Macaca mulatta: one gene and its partner. The protein of the gene in region 1 purifies or fractionates together with the protein of each later gene. This does not show direct contact. Links are inferred from orthologs where the notes say so. Each region holds a gene or a part of one and is shown in the gene's direction. Other genes may lie near its edges.

Region 1 (4,292 bases):
CCTGGGTCCTGTTCCCTACCGCGCTTTTCCAAACTCTAGGCTGAGTCTAAACTTTGTTTCCTCCTGCATACACTTCCCTCTGTGACACACTAATATCCCTTACTCCATCACTGTCTTCCTTACCTTCCCCTGATGAGAGCCTTCTTCCCAGTCAACTTTAAGCTCCCTTTAATGATATGTGTAACGAGTGTTCAATAGAGTGTATATGTGTATATTTAATACCATTTATGTTTTTTTCTTGCTAAGTAATGCATCATAATTTTAGAAAATTGGGAGTAGTCAGATTTAAAGCACCCGTTGGTTTAGAATCCCTGACTCAAAGTCAGATGTCCTGAGTTCTAGACTTGGCTTGTCTCCTTGTAAGTGCAAAAGTTTATTCCCAGTTCCAGGTTGCTAGTGTAAACTTGAAGTTTGGCCCAAACAAAACTCCCATCAGATTTATTTAGAGTGTTTATGCCAAATGGAATTCTAGAAACCCACCCTTGCCCAGTGGCTGAGCCAGAACCACTATCACTGGGGGTAGACCTGGGCATTTGTTCTGCATTTTTTATAGCCCTCGGGTGACTGTCAGACAAACCAACTGTTTCAGAAGCTCTGCTCCAGGCTCTAGACCACACGTTAAGTAGCAAGGGTGGGGGTCTGGACGCGCAGTATTGGCATCCTCTGAGAGCTTGTTAGAAAGGATCTCCCCCTCATTATCCCAGGCCTACTGAATCTGAATCTTGCATCTCAACACAATCCGTAGGACATTCTGTCACATTGAGGGTTTGAGAAGCACTGTTGTACCTTGGTATCATTAGATACCTACTGATACCTGGGCCCCACCCAGACATTGTCCTGTACTTGCTCTGGGATGCGTACGGGGCAAAGGGTTCTTACAAGCTCCCCAAGTTATTTTAATGCACAGCCACAATAGAAGATCATTGTCCCCCAAATCGCAACCCTTTACGGTTAAGCTGTAACCTGAGTTAAACTGGCTTTTGTGGGCTCCCCCGGGACCTTAAGGACCGCTTAAATGGTGCTGTTTAAGGGACAATGGGCTCCGGGGACAAGTTCAACCACAGAGCTTTGGGTTCATAAAACCCGGGGAGGGAGACTTCCTGCATCTTCCCGCTAGCAAGCCGGGCGCCGCACCAGTCCTCACCGGCTTGCACCCCCAGCCCTGCCCCGCCCGGCTCGCCCCCTCCCGCCCCGCGGCCCGCCCCTCCTCCCCCGTGACGTGCCGCAGCAGCCGGGATCATGCGCACTCGCGCCCCGCTCCCGGCGCTGCTGCTCCGCCTCGGCGCCTGTCATTCTCCGCGGCGCGGCGGCGAGTGCGGGCTGCGGTACACTACTGCTCGCTGGTCGGTCTGCGCGCCAGTGACCAGCCGACTGGGGGCGGGCTGGCGGCTCTGCCTGCGGCACCGCATCGGTTTTTCTCCTGCCGGGTCTCTAGTTGAGCCGGGATTCCCTTGGAGCCAGAGAGACGCACCAGGGGCTCCGAGCGCCGCGCTCCGGGGCTGGAGGCAGCTGCGGCGCTCGGGTCCGCGCGGCCGGGTGCAGTAGCCTCAGTCCCCGCCGCCGCCTTGCTTAGTCGTTTGCCCTGGCGAATGCCCGGCGCCCGGCACAGCTGAGCCAACGCGACTGGTGCAGAGCGGCGGCGCCTCGTCCTGCACTTGCCGCTGCCGCCGGGCTGTGCCGGGGCGGCGGCGCTGCGCGCCCGAGTTTGCAGAGGCTGCCTCCGAGCGCTGTCCCCCAAGAAGACTCCCTGCCTCCTGAGTCCCAGTAAGTTGACTGTAGTTTCTGAAGTTGGAGGGAGCCGTGGGAAGGAGAGGTTCGTTTTTATCTTCTCGTGGGAAGCCGAGGGTGGCACCTCTTGTTAGCAGAGTTCCAGCTTGAGGAGGGAGTTCAGGGTGCCAAGAAGGGGACCAGGCAGCTGGAAGGTCTGGAGTCCAGGGCTGGCTGACCCCAGCATCTCATGAATGTGCCAGTTGGAAATATGCTGGGAGAGGACAGGTGCTCCTAGGGCATTTCGACTGCTGCGTGCTAATTATTCATTCCAAGCTCCTTGACTCTGTGTGTACGTTGGGGTGAAGGGGCTGGGCAGGGTCTTGTCACCTCCATCCTAAGTCCTCTGGGGAGTGTGGCCAGCACTACGATGGATCTTTGGGCGAGCCATTCCTTTCAGGCCTGCAGGCTTCCCGCGCATCCCGCTTTACTCTTCCCCTGGGCAGAAGTTGCCAACCTTTTCATAATTGGAGCCTAGTCCTTTAGGGAAAAAACAACTTATATGTCGACCCGGTGTTTTATGCCCTAAGGCAAATTAAACAAGCATGTGATTTGATACACTTTAAGAATGTAGGCAAATCTCAAGAAATAGCATTCAAATAATGACACTTGGGTTTCACCCTGATTGTCCTGCACCTCTTATGTAAGCCTCCCGGCTGGATAACTTTTGTCTCTGCAGTGGCTGCAGCTGTGGCTCTCCATTCCATTTGTTTAAAGTCCAGCTTGAACAGTATTTAATGAAAATGCTGACATGATATAGCGGCCTGAAGTCTGAAACAGAGTGCACTCTTCAAATTGGAGTGTCTTCTCCTAATAGGGAGCATGGGAGGAACAACCCAGTATATTTTTCAAGGCAGCTCCAGGAATTAGACCCATAAATCATGTTTTAAAATAGCATGCATTGTGCAGAGAGCATGCAGAGGACCGCTTTTTGAACACATCCCCTTTGTTTTAGAAAAAGTGGAAATTGTTCATGCCAGACAATTGTTGAGTCTAAAAGTTAAGTGTATTGATGGGCCTAATTATCTTAATAAACAAAGAGCATGATTTATAGGTAGCTGCAGTGCCCTACTTTGAAGGATAGAAATCTTTAACCGTTCTTTCTCAGCTGTCCCTGAGAGATTCCTTTTAAGCAGAGCTATGGATTATCATCATTGATGCTTAATACCTGATTTGATTAAACTTGTAAAAGGAATAGTACTTTGAAATACCATGCAGTATTGCTGTGTGACTGTTACACAGCGAATATTATAAATAAGAGGAATATTTGAAGTATTGGGTATAGATGTCATTAGTTTAACAAAATAGATCATATTAAGACTTCCCTGCTAAATATATACACACATACATATATGTTTAATTTGGACTTGAAATTATGGTTTAAACCAAAGCTCAGGGGTATGTTTTAATGTAAGATTTATTTACATAATCTTTGAAGAGAGAAGTGCATTTATTTATGGTATTTCAGCATACAGAACAAGACAAACTAGTTATAGGCACCTTATTTAAAATGTAGAGGGGTTTTTTTTAGGAATACTAAGAAAATACAGAAAATGTTATTTCAGAAGTTGAAAAGTTAGTCACATCAACACATTGCAGTTTGTGGGAGCATCCAGTGCTTATCTCTAGAAGAGATTACATCCAAGCATGGCATCTCAAACAGATTGACCCAGTAAGCACTATTGCATCCTGGTTAGCAGGACAGGCTATGGAGCCGGGCTGCCAGCTGTGGTACCATCTGTTTGAATCTAGGCAAGTTACCCAAAGTCTGTGCCTCAGTGACTTCATCTGTACAATGGGGATGACAGCAGTAGTACCTACCCCACTGAACAGTAGTGAGGATTAAATGAGTTCATAGACATAAAGCTGTTGGGCCAGTATCTGGCATATTAAGCTTGTTCTCGGAAAAATTTTCATTGTAATGAAAGGAAATGCATCTTGGGATACTATGGACATTGAATTGCTGCTATGGACATTGCATTGCTGCTGATGAATGTTAACAGAAGCAGTTCATGTGTGTAATAGGAGAGAGAAGGTATAAACATTTATTGTGCACTGTCTAGCGATACAGACACCTACTGGTATTTAACAATGTCTTGCTCAGTTCTTCACCACAGTCCTTTGAGGTAAGTGTCTTCATCTCTACTTTAGAGATGAGAAAATGGAAGCTCAGTGAGATCAAATAGTAGAAATTGGAGCTGGCATTTTAACCCATGTCTGTCTGTGTTGAAACTATGTTCTTTTTGACCCTGCTGCTTCAACTTGCAAATGAAGTAGGTGCATTATTATCCTCAATTTATACATGAAGAAATCTAAGCTTAAGGATGTATGCAAAGTGCAGCACCCACAACAGAAATGATCATAATTATTGTTAAATAACTTGCCCATGCTTCCAAACCTCCTAGTGTGTGGTAGAAGTGCCAGGTCTTTCAATTTGAAGTAGATTCTGTTGCTTTATTATTTTTCTATTCATGCATTCAGAGAGTCAAAAAAGAAAAATTGGTGTGATGTTAGAGTTTACACTG
Region 2 (3,386 bases), on another chromosome or scaffold:
AAACAGCAAATAGTGTCGTAACCATTTCAGGTTTTGTGGCCAAATGAGGTCAGTTCAGATCAGTTCTGCAGTCAAGTGAGTTACAAAAACTTGATGGTGTTCAGAGCTTGTTGGATTGCGGAATTGTGGAGAAGGAAATGCTGGCCTCTGACCGCATTTGTCTAGAGCCCAAAGAGAAGCCTGCCTTTCATTCCCGAGCAGCTCCAGTTCCTCCTTTGCTTCCAGCTCCCCCGCCCCCATCCCCCGTTTTCAGCCATTGGAGGAGGATGTAGGCTAATTAGCCACAGTGCTGCCTCTCCCTCTGCCCAAGCAACTGAGGAAGTCACTGGAAAGGCATGCATGGCACAGAGGCAGGGACCCTGACTCCCTCACCAAACCTCTGTCTCTGAAATAAGGGGTCGCCCTGACACGTGAGTGAGGTTATTTTACGACAATTGCATTGAAGGCCTACTTCAGTACAGCAGAAATAATATATGAATTTTTATTATCTCAAGAAATGATCATGGCAGAGAGTAAGAAAGCATCCTGAAAAGGTCTGGAGGGACGTGCGACGGACGGGCTGTGGTTGACAGCCAGGAGGAGCCAGGATGCACTCAGCTCTGCAAGTAACAACACAACCACGAGGACTGGCAACAGACCCCAAAGTCTGAGTGTTCCCTGCCCAGGGGGACAGGCTGTGCTCTGGGCCAGCGCCTCTGGCTGTGCTGACAGGTTTCCAGCTAGCAGGTCACCACCTCCCCTGGAAGTAAAGGGAGCGAGCTCCATGCGTATGGTGTGTGCTCCTGCTGGCTGTAGCCCTGGGAAAGAGGGGAAGAAATCTTGGTTTCTATATGGCTTGACGTCGAGTTCTTGCTCCTGCAAATTAACCAGGTCAGAAATTGGGGAGGATTCCAGATGACAGCCTCACCAGCCAGGAAGCAACCAAAGGATAGCACAGCTTGACAGGGAGCTGCCAGAAGGTGATCTAATGAAAAAGGGAAGCAAAACTAGAGAACAGTGGTCGGCAGTAGTTGGGAAGAGGTCAGGACATTGGCCACCCCCTAAGCATGGTAGTTCCTGTAGTGTTAAGGCGGCCAGTGTGCAGGAGTCCGCACTCTCTAAGGAGTTAATGATCTGTCTTCTGTTAGTGCTATGCAGCCCAGTGTTTCAGCAGCTTCCCCAGAGTCAGGAAGACCTCAGATGATGGATGGCCTGGCTGAGGTCATCAGTAGAGATAGGCCCCGGACATGGTCTGTCTCCCCATCAGATTCACCAAACCTCAGGGCAGTGGGGTCACAGGGCCAGACAGTGCCCAGCCACGCTGGCATGATGGCAGATTTCCCACAGTGAGGAACTAGGAGTTTGCCCAAGCATGAGGAAAACAAATTTATGAAGTTCATAAATGGAGTTTATAAATGCTATAAACAAGGGGCAGCATGCTTTCATTCTGTGTGGATTTTTTTGTCTGCTTTATTCATATATTTTTGTCAGTTTAATTGAAGTATAATTTACACACAATAAAATTCAACAATTTTAAGAATGCAGTTTATTGAGTTTTGACAAACATAAACAGTCACACCACCCCATACATAATATAGAACAGGGGTTGGCAGATCTGGCCCCCAACCTGTGTGTGTTTTGTACATTTTTAAAGGGTTGTTAAAAAGAAGAAGACAGGGATCATATGTGACCCACAAAGCCAAAAATATTTACTGTCTGGCCTTTTACAGGAAAAGCTTGTTGACCCATTGACCCTGACACTGAACATTCCCATCCCACTTGGAGATCCTTCTGGCCCCTTTGCAGGGATTCCTCCCCTCCCCAGGCAGCCACTGATCTGCTTTCTGTAGATGTAGTTGTGCCTTTTCTAGAATTTCGCATAAATGAAATCATACAGTATGTTGCCTTTTGTGTCTGGCTTGCTTCACTTATATTGCTTTGGAGAGTCATTCTGGATTTTTGCATGTCTCGGTTCTGCACTCCTTTATTTCTGAGTAGCATGGCAAGGTTTGACTCCTGGGGGGAATGGGGGCACTTCACATGTTTTAGCCACCTGCAGATGCAAAGAAGAAGAAAGGGGATCTGCAAGTGTGGCGGTCAGGGCCTGGAGCCCCCGGGTGCCCACTCTCACTGCCCTTGTCTTTGCAGGCATGAACAACCGGGAGGTGCTGGAGCAGGTGGAGCGAGGCTACAGGATGCCCTGCCCGCAGGACTGCCCCATCTCTCTGCACGAGCTCATGATCCACTGCTGGAAGAAGGACCCTGAAGAACGCCCTACTTTTGAGTACTTGCAGAGCTTCCTGGAAGACTACTTTACCGCCACAGAGCCCCAGTACCAACCTGGTGAAAACCTGTAAGGCCCGGGTCTGCGGAGAGAGGCCTTGTCCCAGAGGCTGCCCCACCCCTCCCCATTAGCTTTCAATTCCGTAGCCGGCTGCTCCCCAGCAGCAGAACCGCCCAGGATCAGATTGCATGTGACTCTGAAGCTGACGAACTTCCATGGCCCTCATTAATGACACTTGTCCCCAAATCCGAACCTCCTCTGTGAAGCATTCGAGACAGAACCTTGTTATTTCTCAGACTTTGGAAAATGCATTGTATCGATGTTATGTAAAAGGCCAAACCTCTGTTCAGTGTAAATAGTTACTCCAGTGCCAACAATCCTAGTGCTTTCCTTTTTTAAAAATGCAAATCCTATGTGATTTTAACTCTGTCTTCACCTGATTCAACTAAAAAAAAAAAAAGTATTATTTTCCAAAAGTGGCCTCTTTGTCTAAAACAATAAAATTTTTTTTCATGTTTTAACAAAAACCAATCAGGACAGGTGTTTGTTTTTGTTTTCTTTTTTATAAATATGAATATATATATAATATATATGTCCCTGTACATATACAATGTGGGTGCTAATGTGGAGACTGTGGCCAGCCTGGGCCACCAAGCTATGGGACCCAGAGGGAGGATTTTACTGTAAGTCAGCATCAAAGCACTGGTGTTATTCTGAAAACACCAGTGGCCTCATTTTTGGCTTTTGCAAAGCATGAATTTTTTCATTTGGATTGCACTTTCCTGGTTCATGACTGTACCTGTAGATGGCTGTTACTTTGACTCTTTTCAGGAGCCGCCCCCCCAGGCTGAATTTACAAGTTCTGTTAGCAGTATTTGCTTCAACTTACTGCCGTTTGTTCTCAAAACTTAAAAATAAGCAAGCAAATGGCTACCGAGAGAACTGGAAGATGGATACCACACAAACTTCTTGTATAAAAATATGAGTGCTGAAATGTTTCAGACATTTTTAATTTAATAAACCTGTAACCACATTTAAATGATCTAAAACCCATAGCATTGTAGTCATGGCAACCTGCTAAACTTTCTCATGCAACTAAAATTTCTGGGGGAAATGAGGGTGG

The links.
Region 2: the proteins of PAG1 (region 1) and FYN purify together in Homo sapiens (co-immunoprecipitation; 3 studies listed by BioGRID and IntAct, with this or other methods). This does not show direct contact. The link is inferred for Macaca mulatta from reciprocal best matches to the Homo sapiens genes PAG1 and FYN.

The regions. Positions count from the first base shown.
Region 1 is NC_133413.1:91,636,982-91,641,273, reverse strand, and holds the start of PAG1 (phosphoprotein associated with glycosphingolipid-enriched microdomains 1), read left to right. Parts: upstream 1-1,291; 5' UTR 1,292-1,764; intron 1,765-4,292. UniProt on the Homo sapiens protein: Negatively regulates TCR (T-cell antigen receptor)-mediated signaling in T-cells and FCER1 (high affinity immunoglobulin epsilon receptor)-mediated signaling in mast cells.
Region 2 is NC_133409.1:16,737,070-16,740,455, reverse strand, and holds the end of FYN (tyrosine-protein kinase Fyn), read left to right. Parts: intron 1-2,127; coding exon 2,128-2,336; 3' UTR 2,337-2,790; downstream 2,791-3,386. UniProt on the Homo sapiens protein: Non-receptor tyrosine-protein kinase that plays a role in many biological processes including regulation of cell growth and survival, cell adhesion, integrin-mediated signaling, cytoskeletal remodeling, cell motility, immune response and axon guidance.